Linked DNA regions of Drosophila melanogaster. The protein of the gene in region 1 purifies or fractionates together with the protein of each later gene. This does not show direct contact. Each region holds a gene or a part of one and is shown in the gene's direction. Other genes may lie near its edges.

Region 1 (7,485 bases):
GAGGAACAAGCGGCGGTACGAGGAGATCGTGCCCTCCGCCAGGCGTTTCATTCGACGCATCACGTCGCCGGCGTCGAACTTGCTTTTCGCTGAGCGGAACAACATTTTCCAGCAGTGTTTTGGAGCCCGGAAAATGTCGGAAAATTGAGAAACATTTCAATTTTAGACCATTTTTGTGCTTCCCAGTGAATGGCAACTGCTTTTAGTGATGGCACGGCTAGTCTCGCTAAATCGATATCTTTGTATATCGGTTGGAAATTCTATACCCTCGGATTACAGGGTATAGTGCATTGAACCCCAAGTTTAAAACGCATAATGCAGTTAATAGGGTAAGCCCTAATTTATATTAAATTGTATATATCAGTTACATTTCTTTGTACATTTTGACGGGCTTGAATCTCACTGGGTTGACACAGATGGTTGAAACTTAAGACAGTAATGAAAAAACTCTTAATTTTAAATTGCACCTCTCCCGCAACTAAGCCCATATCACAGTTCCCGGTCCTCCAATTCCCGAATCGCATCACTGGACTGAAAGAAGGCAATGTGAATTAGTAAAGAGTGAGGTATGCGATGCTCCTTACCTTTTTGAACCAGAATGAGGGCATAAAGCTGATCTTGTTGCCGAAACTCATGTCGGCAGGCGGGAAAATGCCGTGCAGGTGGAGGTGGCGAACCGAGATGAACGGCGGCAAGTGGAAGCCCACAATCGCCTCCTTGGGATCCACGTTCTGCGATCGCAGGAATTCCATCATGCCCTGCTCCATTCGCCGCACTGGGTACGTGGCAAATGGTCATTAGTACGTTTGCTTGCTATGCGTACCGTGGCTTACCCAATCCAACGTGCGATTTGTTCAGCGCTTTCAGGCTGTCGAAGTGCTCCTTGGGAATCGCCAGATAGTGGAGTCTGGCTGCCGGATACTTGTCCTTGAAGATCACGTACTCGTCCGTCTCCACCTCCAGGATGGGCGGCGGTCCTTGGCGGCGGTGGGCGAAGTCGCAGAAGAAGCACTTTTCGCTTTCCGCCTGGCGAACCTCGCCACTGGCACATTTGTAGATCGATACCAAAACTATTAAGCCCAAACCGGCCAGCCCGGCTATGTACATTTTAGCCTTGTTTTTCATTCGGCTGTTTGACTGGATCGGCACGGTCTTAGCTTTTCTTTTCATGAACGTCTGTGACTAAGATCGTTTCACACTTTCGAATTGGTAAAATATTTTGGATAAGCGAAGTAAACATTGTAGCGGGTATTTATCGATTAACCATCGAGCGGTCCTATGTGCACTTCCATTGGAAATATTCCAGTGCTAGGCGGGAATTTTAAATCGTGTATTTACATTTTATAAAATATGAAAATGTATCCAGAACTAATCATTGAAAATATATGGAAATTAAAAATATATAAAAACTGTAGGTGTGCGAAATAAATCACCTTTCCATATAGCAGCGTTAATGAAATCACTAATGCCATTGCTTGGCATTACAAGTAATAAGTTAGCACTGTAATTATTTATATGTTTAGTTTCATTTTTAATTAAATTTGTTATTTTCTATCCGATCTATCGCTGCCTTGCCACCTGCGATAGTTTGATACCTTTATTTCCTCCTGGCCGCAGTGTGACCGCAGCGGCCTATCGCCCATCGATAGTTCGATATTCTTATTGCTTTATTTTATTAGGAATAGCAAACCATTTATCCGTATTTTTTGAATTAGCGACCTAATCCTGCGTTGGCCAAAGCTCAAGCAACCGGAAAAGCACGGGATCGCCGACGGCCAAGGACGTAAATCACGGGAAAGTCGGGATGTGGCCGCAAACGCTGGAAATGTCGCGGGACGAGTGCCGAGGCATGCTGCGTCGACTGGGTGAGAGCTGAGTGGTCAACGAAATTCAGTCCCATCCTCGGGAGCTCTTGAGGATCGGCCGCCGAGTGGAGCGCTGGCGACTAAAGCACTTTCTTCCTGTTGTCTCTGTTTTTGTGCCCACCAGAACTCGAGTCCTATTCACATGTGGTGAGCGTTTTTCGCGCCCAAGGAGCCCTCAGTGAAACGAAGGCGAAACTGCTGGAGGAGCTGCGCCAGCAGTTCCACATTAACCAGGAACGCCACAGGGCGGAAGTGCGGAGGGCGGCCAACGACGAGCAGCTCTGCACCATAGCGGAAAAGTGAGATTCCCAGTGAGATACTCCAGTGCAAACTAACTACTAATGCCCTGTGTATCTGTACTGCCCTTGCAGCGTTTGTGGGCCCAACACCTGGCAGGAATGGTCACGCGAGGGACGACGCCTCTATCCTCTTCTTCCCAGGATTAGTCCACAAACTGCGCTGAGCATCGTTGCCAATGACCTGGCGGCCAAAGCCTGCGAGGAAAACGCCAAATTGGCTGCTCCGGCCGAAACGGCGGTCCACTTTGGAGAAGCCCTCGTGGAGCAGGCCTCGCTGATGAGCCTGAAATATCCGCGTGGTGCCAGGATCCAGGACACCGCCATGGTGATCATGGCGGAGCCGGTGAGTTACATAATCCCATCCGTGTAGTTTCCACTCGCTTGAGGATAGCGAATGTGCAGACTGTACCTGCCATGAAAACAAGTGGGTGGCTGCTTTTGGGCGCTGCCAAAAAGTTGCCCAGCGCCAATTACCCTTTGAATATAGACGTAAATAATGGGAATCCTCAGAAGAATTTAAAAAAAAAATCATAATTCCAAATGAAAATAAAAATCTGCCACTAAAAACAATCCAGTTGGATTGTGGAGTTCCAACCAGAATGCTAAAAAGGCGGGAAAATTAAATCGTTTCAATTTTCTTCGTACTTCATACCATTTTACACTTTCGTTGTCACCTTTTTAGTTTCCCAATCGTTTTTCGCTTATTTGTTAATATATCTCTGGTAATCATTAGCTATTCAACTTAAACCGCCAGTAACAGAAAACTGTGAGTATCTGTTAACTGGGCTTAACATTCTGTTGGCTTCCAGCTGTTATCGATAGAGGGTGAACTTTACGTGCCGTTCAAATTGGATTTTGAATTGGATTATATAACGAGCACAAATAAATATGTAAATATTTATGTTTATAAGGAAAGTGACTTAAAACCAAAATAAGTAATTCTCCTCGCCCTTTTTATCTTGTTTTCTAAAGTGTCTGTTTTCAGGAGTCTGTTTCACAAGTTGAGTAATGAAAACGCCAAAAATTAAAATCAATTCTTCCCTCCTTCAGTTCAAAGTTCCCGATCTACCCAATGAGGTGAAGAAAATGACACAGAAGCGCAAGGAGAACGATAGCGGAATCGACGGCAAGCCGAACAAGAAGCGGCATATGCAGCAACCACATCCGCAGCAGCCGCATCTGCAGGCTTCGCAGCAGCAGCAGCAGTCACAGCAGCTGAATCCGAACTCCTCGAATCCCGGCATGGAGGAGGCAGATCCCGTGCCGCCAGAGAAACGGATGACTGCTCGGACGCTACAGCAGCGCTACTTCTACCAGCAGCAGATGAAGCACAAGCAGCGACTGGCCAGCAAACGGAATCTTGCCAACAGACTGGGCTCACCCTCCGCGCAATCGGGCAATCCCTTGGGCGGCAGGAATATGCCCAGCTCCGGTGGAGACACTTCGACAGCTAAGCGAAGTGCCGCACCTGCCAAGAGCGGCAGACGAGCGCAGAAGCAACTGCAGCAGCAACAGAAGTTGCAGCAACACCAGCAACAGAAAGTATTAATGCAGTCGCAGGAGACGGTGCCCAATCACATGGTGGTACAGCCGCACGTGGAGTATGTGTTGGATGAGGCGCTCAAAACGCTGGCGGCATCCAATCCTCCCACGCCCACGTCCACAGTCGCTCCTCCATACACAATCCTAAACGAGCCGAGGCCACTGGTCACGCTGAAGCCTCTGAAGACCATTAAGCCGATGATCTATGGGCCGCAAAGTGGTATGCCCTCTGCCGAAATTGGATCCCCCACAACGCCAGGCTCTCGCGGATTTGCCAACTCTCCCATAGTGTTTAAGGAGAAGCTGCAGGCGTCACCCGTGCAGGTGGCCACACAGGGTCAAGGTTCGCCCACCAAGAAGTTTGTGGCTGAGGAACGACATGCGGATGCGATGCCCTCCGCGGCCACTACGCCCACTCCCATTTCCACCGCGAATCTTCCATTGGCGCCGCAGATAATCAGTGTTCAGAAGATCCCAGCTCCGTCGATGGGCGGCAAGCTGAGAGCAGCCGTGGCTTCGCCCACCAGTTCCACAAACTCCACGCTCCTGCCACCGGGCGCCAAGACAACGCCCAAGAAGTTCAACATCCTTGAGGGCGATGCCAAGCCCAAGACCTTGCCCAGTTCGGCGGTTCGCCTGCTGCCGTACACGGAACCCATAGGCGGTCCTTTGTCGCCGCTCAAGGATTCCAGGGTCACTCCCTTAAGCAGCGCCTCCACCGTCAACATTATCAAGAATATACCAGCTAGTAGTTTAAACAACACATTGATCACACCGCTTCCCTCAGCCGGCACCACCATGCCGGCGAATCTCTTCAGAGCGAAGGTAACGCCGTCAATCAAAGGAGCCAGCGGTGCTGCAGGCGGCGCAACCGTTATTGGTGCCGCCGGAGCAACAGGAATCGGTGGAGCAGGGGCTGGGCCTCAGATACTAGGGAATATCAAGCTAACCAGCAGTTCGGGCGGAGCAGCCACTATTAAACAGGTGCCCAGCAGTGCGCTGCGGAACATAAAGATTTGCTCACCCAACGGGAAGCTATTCCTACAGCCGGGTAAACTGCCAGCCGGAAGCATTATTCACAAGTTCAATAACGCAAGCAGCACTGCGGTGTCTGCGGCGGGAGGAGTTGTGACCACCACCACCACCACTGTATCGCCCACAAAGCAGCCGGCGAGGGAGCAGAGGATCAGCATACAGAAGATACTCCAGCCGGCGACAGGAAGCGCCAGTAGCGGAAGCAGCAGTCCCACCACCACCACGACGACCATATCCGGCTTGACTTCCAGTGCCAAGCAGCCAGGTTTGGGCAACAAGCCGACCACGCTGACCTTCGCCACTGCGGGCGGTGGTAAGAACAATCTGGTCTTTCTGCCAGCGAGTGCGGCGAGTGGCATGCGGGCACTCACCCTGGCCACAAAGCCCAAGTCCAATGTGCTGGTCATAGGGGCGAGCACCTCTCCAGCTAGTGCCGCGTCATCTCCCAATCCCTCAGGCGGCACCAAGCCCAAAGCCAACCAACTCATTACGGAGGACACGCCCATCGATATTATTAACATGCCCATCATTGTGGCAGACAACGGCACCGCTGCGGAGCTCAATCAGGCGTCGGTGAAGAACTCGCCCCTGGTCGTGTTCAATGCCACCGACTGGGAGATGGAGCTGGATCAGGCAGCCACCAAGTCTGCCAGCACGACCTCGAAACAAGCTCTGGACGATGTGATCATCGAGGAGGACGAAGATGCCGAGGAGGAGGCAAGGGAGAGTAGTGAGCAGCCATCTACCATGGACCTGAACAATAGCAGTGAGTCTCTGTAGCTAATGTGCATGTAATGGAGTTCAACTGGCTCCTTGAACTGCAGTCGACTTCCGTAATCCTAACTCTTGCACTACTTTCCAGTAATTGAGCTGCACCCGGAGGATGACAGTGCCATCGAGTACGTCGACATGGACCTGGAGCAGCCCGTCGAGATTGAGAGCACCAGCAACATATCGCCAGAGACGGCCACCACCACGCTAAAGGCAGCCATCGTCTCCACATCCCCCCAGCAGCAGCAGCAGCAGCCGCAGAAGAAGCATCCCCCACTGGAGCATCCACTGAGCGCAGGAGCGGCTGCAGGAACAGGAAGCAGCACGGGAGCAGCTGTCCAATCAGCAATTAAGTTACCCTAAACGCTCCCCATTTCGAGATATTCGAGTGAGAGAACGCACACACACACAGCAGACCCGGTTTGAATTAGATTTAGTTGGTAGTTTAGCTTGAATGTCGAAGGTTTTCCCACTAATTTCCAATTATCGCAACCCGCAGCCTTGGAGCAAAGTGCAAGATTATCGTAAGCAGCTCTAAATGCCTGTTGGTTTAATCGCTCGCAATAGTTAAGTTGCCAAATCACACAACCACCACTGTTATAAACATAGTATCGTTTAGTGAAAAGTATACCCTGGAATTCGTGTTAGTTTTAGTTTAGTTAAGCGCCCATTTCATCCGCCTGCAATCCTGGGAGCCCGGAGTCGATCACCTCCCTCCTGTAAATAGGGCAGCTGCCTCTGCGGACTACCTTAATTTGTATAGCTTGTAAATAGATTCCACACTTCGCCCAGAAACCCATACCCCACTCCCCCCCCCACACACCACCCTTTGCCTAGCATAATTTCATCCTAATTTAGTTGCCTAGACTAGCGCAGAAATAAGCGAATTGTACACAAACAAACGAATTCGAGCAGCACGCAGAGAGCGAGGAAATTGTTTAAATGTTCAACTTGAAAGATTCTTAATTGTATGAGATTATAGACCCTAGTTGACCCAATCCGAACCCGAACATGTAAATATCTGATGAATTTCGAAATGCAAGGCCCAACTATCGCAGCCACATATAAATATACACTTGTATAGATACCTAGTTCGGCTAAGGACCACACATGTTTAATCTTGATCGGAAGGAGACCCATGCCACACACACACACACACACACACACACACACACACCCACACACACAGATGATTAACCATTAACGATTTATAGATGTTAAGTATTTTATGCGTCGGTTTTGTAAATCCAAATCTTAAGAGGAATGTTGTAACTTTCGACCAAGGTCCAAAAAAGAAACACACAGAAAAGGAAGAAGCATCCAAACAGAGAATTCCCCTCTACGAAAAGTGAAAAGTGTAATACAAAATATTGTTGAACGATGCGTGTCGCTGTAAAATTTTTAGCATAGAACTTTTAAACGAAATAAATTTAAATGTAACTAAAGGAACTCGTTTTGCTTTGGCCAAAGGGAAACGCCGCATTCTTTTTTGTCTTCTTTAATGGTTGTTTATGTACACACATATTTTAATATAATTTCATCAATGCACAATGCAATCCTTCCACTTAACATGTTAACTTATTGCTGTCGCCAGAGAATCGAGTGGTGATCGAAAAATAGTTGGAAAAGTAAAGAGCTTGGTGAGAAAATAGAGTAAACCAAACCGTAAAAAGGGGAATTAGTCTAGTCTAGAGAGTTTCGAGTTTCAGCTTGGAGTTCAGTTGCGACCCAAGGTCATGCCCCGGCCCCAGGGACTTTCGGTCGCCTGCCTAGGTGGTGCTCTGCTCTCCGGTGGGAGTCCGAAGCCGCCGAATCCGCCGGAAACATCTGGCACCAGGCGCTTCCTATACAAAAAAAAGAAGTGCGGGTTATATCGACTAGCACCACAAGTTAATTATCCTCGTTATGCTTACAAGAACTGCGGCGTTTCCAACAGGGGTGTGCCGCCCAAATCCTGCGAGTATTGGAACTTG
Region 2 (4,091 bases), on another chromosome or scaffold:
AGCATCAATGCAGCATCGAGTGGCAGTGGGAGCGGAAGTGGTAGCAGTATCAGTAACGGCAGCTCGACGCACGGTTTCGCAAACGGTTCCTCCAAAGACGTAGGCGGCAGCACTATGGCCAGCAAGCAATGCATCAACTTGTAAGTTGTAGTCTGATTATTCGACAGCAAATACATAATGACATAATTTTGTTTTACAATTGGAGACGAAAGCAACGCCTGAATGCAGTGCGCGCCATTTTTATACAAGCCTACGGCAAGACGATTGGACTGAAATTCAAGGAGGGCTCATCCATGAACCTGGCCACGTTCATTGGGAACCTGGCGGACCAACTGTTTTGAGAAAGGATTAGCAGCTATGACCGTTTGTTAGATTTCATCAACATTGTTTGTTTCTTGTTAAGTGCTACGCTTTCAACCAACGACTGTATTTATAGACCTGTTAAATTGCGTTCTTTAGTATCTGTTGACGATTGTGTAGTGTAACGGATTACTGATTACCGATAAGCATCGAAAGAACCAGGCGATCGTAGGCAACGAGCAAACAAAATCCTGTCGTCCTTCTGCCCCGGCTAAACCGCTCTCCTGTTCTCTAGGTTCTCCCGCTCCTTGTTTGTTTAGTTATTAGTTCTTCGAGAATGCAAAGCAAGTGAAATATAAAATGCTATTTGGATTATACAATAGTTTTAAGTTGTAATTTATAGTAATGTATTTTTTAATAAACTTATGTGCATTTTATACGAAAGAAAGTCATGTTCTCAGCGTAGGCCGCCTTGAGCGCCGTATTCTAGCTAAGGGTAAATAATCATCAATTTCCACTCGCTTCAGCCGGATGCGACACCTTTTAATGTAGTATTTCGCGCTTTTAAGAGGAACGAAGCGTGGTGTTTCTATCGGTCGTTCGTCACATTTTGTTGTATCTTTAATTTTAGGTTCAATAGCTGTTTCTATTTTGATTTTGACATCATTTGATCCTTTGCAAGCATTATTATATCTGATTCTTTTATTGGCACTTGCGACATTGGGTCTTATTTTGTGTGGGCTAATGCCGAATCTGTCCATGGCCGGACTGAGTAAATTGTCTGCTGGGAGCTCTTTCACCCGTATCGCTTTAAGAAATTCGTCGTATTCGCTCTGAACCGTCTCCAGGTCCTTAGGACCCAGCTTTCGAGTAGCTTTCTCTTGGCGCTCTTGCTCCAGGATGAGGGCGAGGACCTCCACTTCTAAATGCCGGCGTTCCGCTTGCGCCATAGATTTCACGAAAGGCAACTGACTGAGAAGAAACTCCTGACACTTGGTTTTCGGCACATCCGCCGGATTCGGGGCTTGCATGCGAATGTGCACATCGTGCATCACCCGCCACAGAGGTTCAGGGATTTGCCCTTTGGAACCGGCCAAGGCTCTGACCAGCGGGCGCAGCTTCACCCAACGCAGCTTCAGTTCACTTACGGAGAACGGAGTACTCAGCTCAACGTGCTCGTAGCTTTGGTTAAAGGACTTGGCCAGCTGATCCCAACCCCAGGAGTCGTAGTCAACGTCCATTTTGGGCTCCACCTGCGGGATGATAAGGAAGGGATACCGGGCGAGCATCTCCATGAGCAGCAAGTCGTTTAAAACAATCTGGCCGCTGATGTTGGTGTTTGATATGTTAATCTCCAAATGGGGAACAGTGGAATGGATCACCGTTTCCTCGGCGCTGTCGGTACTCATTTTAATATTTTTCGCACTGTGTTTCTCCAACGTTCTACAACACATTTGTGTACTAATTCATCCGTATGTTTTAATATACCACTTAACGGTAATTTCTTTAATAAAATCTATGTTTTTAGAATCCGAGTTTTAATTTGTGTTTGCTAACTAATAGCGATGGAAATTGTTTGAGAACAGCAATCGATAGGTAAGCGACCAAAGCGATAGGTAGGAAAATATTTGGCTTAAACAATCGATAACTTATCAGACCATCTCCAGCGAGGAAGAAGCGTCGTGAAAAAAGCCGCAAAATATACACAGACGGAAGTATTTTCGCGAATTACTTGAACACAACGTGCGAAAAAAATAATCGGAACGCCCCAATATGAGTGGCGGCACCATGCTATATGGCGGCGACGAGATCGGCGCCCTGGTCTTCGATCCTGGACATCATTCCTTGCGAGTGGGCTACGCACAGGAGGATTCGCCCAAGGCGGAGATACCCTCGGTTGTGGGGATTGGAGCAGCTCCAGAGACCAATCTCGATCCGGAAACTAAAACAGACAACAATGCCACGCCAAATAGTTAGTTTCTACATCGCCTTTATTTAGTTTATGGCTTTTAAAAACCCGGAAAAACCGGCAATCCCTACCCCTACTCTAGATGCTGACCAGCGCAAGTTCTATGTGGACACCAACTACGTGACCGTTCCCCGTTCCAATATGGAGGTGCAGACCTATATGAAAGACGGCATGATTGACAACTGGGACCTGTTTGAGAAGGTTATTGATTATGCCTACGCCAATGTCATTCAGTCGGAGCCGGAATACCATCCCGTGCTCTTTTCCGAGGCATCGTGGAATGTCCGCAACAACCGCGAGAAGCTAACCGAGCTTATGTTCGAGAAGTACAATGTTCCAGCCTTCTTTCTGGTAAAGAACGCCGTTCTGGCTGCCTTCTCCAGCGGGCGGGCCACCGCTTTGGTTGTCGATAGTGGAGCCACCCACACCTCGGCCGTTCCCGTCCATGAGGGCTATGTCCTATCCCAGGCGGTGGTTAAGTCACCCCTGGGTGGAGACTTCCTTTCACGACAGTGCCGCCAGCATCTGGAGAAGCACGGCATTGATCTGTCGCCGGTATACAAGATTGCCTCCAAAGACGTTGTTAAGGAGCGCGACAACGGACGCTTCACGCTGCGCAAACTGCCAGAGAACCTAACTCAGTCGTGGCAAAACTACATGTTGCAGCTCATGATGCAAGACTTTCAGATGAATGTGCTGCAGGTCCTAGAAAATCCGTTCGACGAACGGGTTGCTGCTCAAATCCCGACGGTACACTATGAGTTTCCTAATGGTTATCATCAGGACTTTGGCTCTGAGCGGTTCAAGATAGCCGAGAGTCTCTTTGACAATGCAATGCTGGGAGCTGGCCAATTGGCGTCCACCAGTGTGGGCATGTGTGATGCGGATGTGCGGCTGTCACTTTTCGGCTCAGTTGTCGTTACTGGTATGAATTTTCCCTAGGTTTTAAAACTAATTACTTATACCTTAATATTTTGCTCTTAGGTGGCAATACCCTTCTGCAAGGCTTTCCGGAGCGCCTAAATCGCGATCTCCAGCTGCGTGCCCCCTCAAATACGCGCCTAAAAATGATTTCTGCCAATGGCAGCGTGGAGCGAAGATTTGGAGCCTGGATTGGCGGCTCTATTCTAGCCAGCATAGGTACTTTCCAACAGATGTGGATATCGTCGCAGGAGTACGAAGAGGCCGGCAAGAGCCAAGTCGAGCGGAAGTGTCCGTAAGGACAGCGCAATCGAATTCCAATTTTAATTTTAAAGACGCAACTCTATGTAATAATATAAATGTGAAATGTGAAAAGTGTCCCATTATTCAGAAGACATCTGAGCGTTTGTTTAGGAATAGATTGCATTTGATTACGGAAATGTTTTTAGTTACACACATATGTATATATTTACTGCGACGCTGACGCGGACGTTACAGTTTCACATTTCAATGGAGTTTTCACCGGCTGCCTTTTGTCTTTCGGATCTAATTCGTACGTAATGGATATGGAGTGAACTCTGGGTCCTCGCTTTTTGTGGAACTGTTGATAGAGCGGTGGCACATAAATCTTGCGGCGAATCAGCGTCTCTTCTGTTATTTCGTGGCAAAGTTTTATAAATCGTCACATGGCTCCAGACATTGTGTTGTTGCAAACGCATTGCTATGGGCGGAACACATGATGAACTTAGTTTTAAATGATGTTTATCTCGGCTCACTCACCTTGGCATTTAGTATGTCCTCCGACCAGTCCTCCTTGGCAATTCGACCAACAGCGTTGACCAGAATCTTCTTCACCTTAATTACGTTCTCGGCAAAAGTACGGAGGACATCCTGCACGTTG
Region 3 (5,913 bases), on another chromosome or scaffold:
TTTGGCGAACTTCTTGATGAGCACGTTCAGGTACTGGGTGCGGCACTGGCGCTCCAGCTTGGTCAGCATGTTGTAGTACAGTTCCTGCTTGCGCTTCAGGAAATCCTCCTTCTTTCGCTCCTTGGTCTTGTTGCTCTTAAGGATCTGCTCCAGCTGTCTGTTTTTGGGAATGAGATGAGATGATTAGATCGCGTTAGCAACTGATGCAAGCGCTGCACTTACTCCGTGGTAATGGCTTTGTATTTGCCCAGCATGCGCTTGATCCGCTTGGCCCGCAGCTTCGGATCGTATACATCCTTGAACTGCTCGTAGTTGTCGATGAGCGTGTGCAACTTGGGCTTGGACAGGGCCACGTCGTAGGGCTTTACCTTGGGCGGCAGTGTCGGCTGGTAGGCCATGCGCCGCACATACAACTCCAGCTTGTCCAGTTCCTCCTCCCGCCGCTTCTTTACGTTCTCCTCTGCGCACACATCCGGATCCTCCTCCTCGGGCAGCGACTCCGTCGACGTGGGCATCGGCTCATCCCAATCCGAGACATTGGAGCTGGCCATGGCTGAAGAGTACTACACGGAACTGAACTAAACGAAACGAAACGGAACGGCTCGTCTCGGCTTGGTAAATTTGTACGTATTGGAAATTTAGCTTTGAACTTGGTTACTTATAAACACAAAATAATGTTTCGAAATCTTTTTTGTGTACGAAAAATTTGGGTAAACGGGAGCACTAACAATTTTATGTATTCACGCTGCGATAGTGGATCACCTTATGAGCAGTCCCAGTTGAAATGTGAGCGAGGTAAAACCAAAGGACTACTTGATAGTCAGAAAAGTTCTACATGTTTTCAAAGAAATGGAACATTAATTGTATGGCAACAAGATTAAGGAATTCCAATGACTCACACCACTAACAAGCAAAAGAGCACTGCATATGTGGTTTACAATTAAATAAGCAACGTTTTATTATATGTAATGTAATGTAATGTATGAATATTAACCAGTGGATCTATGGATCTAAAGCTAGTAACACTCGTTCTGCACGGATCGCTCCAGGGCGAAGGTGTACTCCTCGGCCAGCTCGTCCACGGACAATTGGCGCGTTAGTAGCGCCAATATGCTGTCCACCTGCATTTGGGTGCTGGTGTAGCGATCCTTGTTGGCCAATCCGGGTGCCAGCTCGAATGGAATGTCCTGCAAGTAATTGACGGGTCCTTGGGCTCCGGGCTGCTTCACTTGATCGCTGCGCGGTCCTGGCATCGGCGGATAGGGCAGATAGCCCGCTGGCGGCATAGGTGGATACATGGAGCCGGCTGGAACACCCGGATGAGGAGCATCCGGTACTGGTTTGCGCTCTATGAACACGAAATCATCGACACTGGTGCCTGGACGGGTTGCCTCCGCCGGTCCCTGGATGGGCTGGTCATCCGTGGGCGTTTCCGCGGGCTTGCGTTTGCCAAATATCGAAAACATTGCACTATTTTGTTCTATTGTTTGGTAAAATCAACTGGCAAATTGCGTCGTCCGCCAGCTGTGATGCTCTTTTAGCGGGCGTTGGTCCAAAACAGCGAGTGCTAGCTAGTGGTGTGCCCAAAAGATGTAAACATATAGGTGTCTATAGTGAGGTCTGAGCGAAATATGAGAATTTTGGGTATTTAATTTTTAACTATTTGTTTGCTTGGGTATTTTTCGGTTACGAATGTGTATACCCAATATAAACTTTATTAATTGCAAGTAGTTAGATTTGGAGTGAAATGCAGTCTGCACTGAATTTCCGTTAATCGCCTATCGGTGGGCGCGCAGTGTGGCCATTCGCTCGTCGGATGCGCAGGGCTGGACAACCGACACTGCGCCCGCCTCCGTCGCCAAGTGAAGTCGCTCCGAGATTGATTGTGTACACCGGATAAGAGGAGCGAGCGAAAAAGATGTCAAAATTGGACCAGGACCCGAACGCCTCACTGAGCATCATGGAGGTGAGTGTGCCGCCGGGACGCCATTCAGAGCTTCAGTGTGTCCACTGCCCGGAGCTCCAATTCCAATCGGCGGTGGCTACTCTAGAGCTGCCACATTAACGCATTCACAACTGTCTCCATTTCCCACATTTAACATAACTTTACTACTTCGCGCAGCAAATCAAGCAGCTCATCCGCCCGCCGCCCAACGAGGACGAGAAGATGATGCAGCGGTCCACCAACACGAAGCATCCGTACTACAGGCGCCCGGGCAGGGGCCACAACCACGACTATTGTGACGCCTGCGAGGAGGGCGGCAATCTGCTGTGCTGCGATCGATGCCCCTCCAGCTTCCACCTGCAATGCCAGTGAGTATATACACGCGCATATAGCTGCTCATTTTGAGTGCTGATTTCGTGCTTTCGCCACAGTGATCCACCGTTGAGCGAGGAGGACATACCCAGTGGCCAGTGGCTGTGCCACAGCTGTCGCATGAGCAAGCTCTCCCAGCCGCCGGCCTCCTCATCCAAGGCCAGTTCCGTGGAGCGTGTGCCTTCGGCGGGCAGTGGCTCACGGGCGAATACTCCATCGTCTGGCGATCTGGAGTCCATACCGCTGAAGATCCGCAACCTGCGCAAACGCAGCAACAGCGAACGCAATAGCACCGAGAAGCTGCTGGCCAAAATGCCGATGTCCATACAGCGCGCCCTCGATCCGAACAAGAAGCCAACGCCGCTGGACGATGTCATCAGGGCGGCCACCATGATGAATCCGCAGCAATTCTCGCTGCCGCCGGAGCTCGAGCTGCACACCCAGTTCCCGGGCAATGGCAAGGTGCAACCCGTACAGCAGACGCATCCGCCGAGCGGAAATGGCGGTAATCGCAGATGCGCCGGCAATCAGCGACGCAACTCCAAGCCGTTTGAGCTGGATGCCCAGGGACTGGTGCCGCTGCCCGCCAAAACCTGTTTCTACTGCACGCGCTCCTGCAAACGGGCGCCGCTCATCTCCTGCGACTACTGTCCGCTCTACTTTCACCAGGATTGCCTGGATCCGCCACTGACGGCACTGCCAGCTGGATTGTGGATGTGCCCCAATCATGCCGAGAATTTTATCGTAAGTCAGCCAACGCACATGGAGGTCTGCTTGGGTTCTAATGAGGATGTCTGTTCACAGGATGCCAATATGACCAATAGCATTTCGGCCACGGAGCGGGTGCGTCTCTGGAATCGCTTCCACCAGCCACTTGACCATGAAAATGTCAAGCTTGAGTTCTTCCGGCGTGTCAACACGCGCAATCCGCCCTTTCGCACCAAGAGAAATCTGCGTGCTCGCGCCCACATCGAGGTGCCAGCCATTGTGCGCTACCACTACGATCATCCGCCGCCGCTGTTGCCCTCCATGCGCCAAACGTTGCGCTACGATCGGGTAAAGCGGCGCAATAACCTGCCCACCGAAGTCGAGGAGATATCCCGTGAGTCGGTCACCGAATCGCTGCTCAAGGATCTGGAGGCCTTGCGCACGGCTCACGCCAAATTCCGTGAGATTCAGAGGGAATTCGGAACCTTGGAGACGGCCATAGATGGCGATAGCGACAGCGATCCCAGTCCTGAAGAGAAAAGGACCGAGACGAACACTCCCGCCGATAAAGTGAATGGCGAAGTGGATACGGAGAATCCCAATACAGAATCGAATGCGCAGGCCAGCGAACAGCCGTCGGTTGTCAAGGTGGAGTCCAAGACCAGCCTAGAGGTGGAGGCTAGCTTCGAGGAGGACGAGGAGGACAGCAAGAAATCAACGGGTATTATCGATGCAGACCTCTTACACCTGGACGTCGATATAATCAAGAAGCTGGCGCACCAGCGTCTGCAGCAGCTGGTCGAAGAGCATCCGGAGATTGTGACACAGTACAAGAATCGCACGGCCGCTCGTCGCCTGCGTCAACTGGCGTCAGTCGATGGCACACATGTGGCTGGCGAAACTGCTGCCCTGCAAGGCCAACTGGCGCCGGAGGATATGAACCGTTTCTCGCTGCTCTTCACCAGCGAAACGTCCTCAATTCTGGCGCAAAAGAATGGCAATGCCGCCGACGAAGATCCCGCAACGGCCCTGCATCCGGCACTGGCCACAGCGGCGGCCATTGCAGCAGCAGATGCCGCTGCCGAAAGCTATGCGCCGCGTGCCCGTAGCGACACGGAGAAGGCATACGAGCTGGCATCGCGCCTGGAGCTCAAGCTGCTGCAGTGCAAAGTGCAGGCGCGTGCGGTGATAACGCCACTGGGCGACATGCTCGAGGATAGCCGCTGGTTCAGTTCGCTGGGGCTGGACCATTCGATTTTCATGCGCTACCGCACGCTGTACATTGGCTACGGTGGACACTATTCGCCATCGACGACGCTGGCGCAAACGGAGACCGTGGACCTGTCGGCCATTGGTTACTGTTGTCGCATTTCACCGCAGCACGCCATCATCTTCTACGACGAATTCTCCAAGTCGTACGAGCTGATCAATTACTCAGAGTTTGGCACCGAGGTGAATGGACAGCTGTATGCCTGCGACGTGACCGAAAGGATGACAACGCACGCCGGCAAGCCGATGCGACCTGACGATGCGGAGCTGAAGAAGCGCGTCGATGAGATGCTGGACAAGCGTCGGAACATTAATCGCCAGTTCGAGACGAAGAAAATCGACAAAGAACGGTAGCTATAGTTTATTTGCCCAACTTACCCAATGATGATGATAACCACTTGTTGATTTAATCTCCCCGCAGATTGGCGCCCATTGTTAAGCCCGCCTGCCGCTGCATGAACGCCGGACCAGTGCCCATGGTGGATGGCGCCTGGGAGGGATCGGCGGTGCTGGCTCACGGCAGCCTGCTGCGATTCGGTTGCCTGTCGTTTGTGTTTGTCGTGCCGTCGGTGGATCTGCTGCAGGCGCAGGCGCGCAGCAAGCGTTCGTAGAACCAGTACCCAGACTCCATCAGCAGAAGCAGCAGCCTTTAGTTTAAGCATTAAGACACAGAAACATATACGCGCTCAACCGCAGCCAACTCCAGTGGAGCAGCACCAATCTCAGTGGGGCAGCTAGCAGCCAGGCATAGGGTTAGGGTTAGCAGATACCAGTTCAACTTCATCGCATCAATCATCGCAATGCAAAGCCTCGGCAGTACTTTTAAATCACACAATCCTCCAATCCCATCCAGCATTAAGGGTATATATTTGCCTTATGACCAGTGCAATAAATACGGAGTACAAACCACGGATGTGCACGGCTGCAGGCTGATCCATGCCAGTGGGCAGTGGATCTCTGGTATCAAACGCCGTATTTATTGAATTAACCATTACGTTCATAAATCGCATAAACCCGCATCGCATACTTTACTTTTATTGTAAAAACAGATGTATAAATTGCTAAAACGAAATAAACTTGTAAGATCAGAGATTTTTTCACATGCAAATGGATCGATGGAGCCACCAATTAGCAGTAAGCCCCGCCCAATAAGTGCACATGACTTTTAGTTTCTTTTGAAATGAATGTGTTTACTTTATAACCAGATCAAATCCAACTGGTTAAGGCATTATAGAGAACGAGAAGAGTATACACAATAGGTGCCAGGCGGCGGGACGCCTTGACTTTGTGGAGTACACGAAACGTCGGATAAGTACATTCGGTATGGCTAATATGCAAAAAATATATATGTATATATTTGTAATTGTAAAGATCTAAGACTACGCATGCACCGCGTCCAGGTGCCGGCTGCCATCCTAGAGTGCGGCCGCAGGACCCGGCTGAGCCTGTGCCTGTGACGGGTTGGTGTGCTGCATCTGCTCCTGGACGCCAGCCTTGGCCGCCGAGCGCGTGGCTCGCGATCTCTCCCATTCCGCTTTGTGCTTGCGCTTAGTGTGATGGTACATATTCGACTTGGAGCGGAATTCCGTGGGACAGAAGGCGCAGGTGTGCAGCTTGAC

Evidence for each region.
Region 2: the proteins of CG15356 (region 1) and Bap55 purify together in Drosophila melanogaster (affinity purification with mass spectrometry, with the first as the bait; one study listed by BioGRID). This does not show direct contact.
Region 3: the proteins of CG15356 (region 1) and CG3815 purify together in Drosophila melanogaster (affinity purification with western blotting; one study listed by BioGRID). This does not show direct contact.

Annotation. Positions count from the first base shown.
Region 1 is NT_033779.5:1,974,932-1,982,416, reverse strand, and holds CG15356 (uncharacterized protein), read left to right. Parts: upstream 1-1,661; 5' UTR 1,662-1,804; coding exon 1,805-1,865; intron 1,866-1,989; coding exon 1,990-2,164; intron 2,165-2,236; coding exon 2,237-2,507; intron 2,508-3,214; coding exon 3,215-5,507; intron 5,508-5,603; coding exon 5,604-5,875; 3' UTR 5,876-6,954; downstream 6,955-7,485. Other genes in the region: CG7289 (uncharacterized protein), read right to left, coding at 1-105; CG15362 (uncharacterized protein), read right to left, coding at 490-531, 585-775, 834-1,107; Der-1 (Derlin-1), read right to left, coding at 7,230-7,356, 7,426-7,485.
Region 2 is NT_033778.4:17,428,823-17,432,913, reverse strand, and holds Bap55 (brahma associated protein 55kD), read left to right. Parts: upstream 1-1,950; 5' UTR 1,951-2,073; coding exon 2,074-2,272; intron 2,273-2,351; coding exon 2,352-3,194; intron 3,195-3,253; coding exon 3,254-3,489; 3' UTR 3,490-3,561; downstream 3,562-4,091. Other genes in the region: EDTP (Egg-derived tyrosine phosphatase), read left to right, coding at 1-140, 206-341; Lhr (lethal hybrid rescue), read right to left, coding at 750-1,754; Mtap (methylthioadenosine phosphorylase), read right to left, coding at 3,873-3,911, 3,971-4,091.
Region 3 is NC_004354.4:6,293,588-6,299,500, forward strand, and holds CG3815 (uncharacterized protein), read left to right. Parts: upstream 1-1,801; 5' UTR 1,802-1,918; coding exon 1,919-1,966; intron 1,967-2,122; coding exon 2,123-2,313; intron 2,314-2,376; coding exon 2,377-3,061; intron 3,062-3,121; coding exon 3,122-4,644; intron 4,645-4,715; coding exon 4,716-4,905; 3' UTR 4,906-5,383; downstream 5,384-5,913. Other genes in the region: CG15892 (uncharacterized protein), read right to left, coding at 1-157, 223-551; CG15891 (uncharacterized protein), read right to left, coding at 1,017-1,466; CG12219 (uncharacterized protein), read right to left, coding at 5,710-5,913.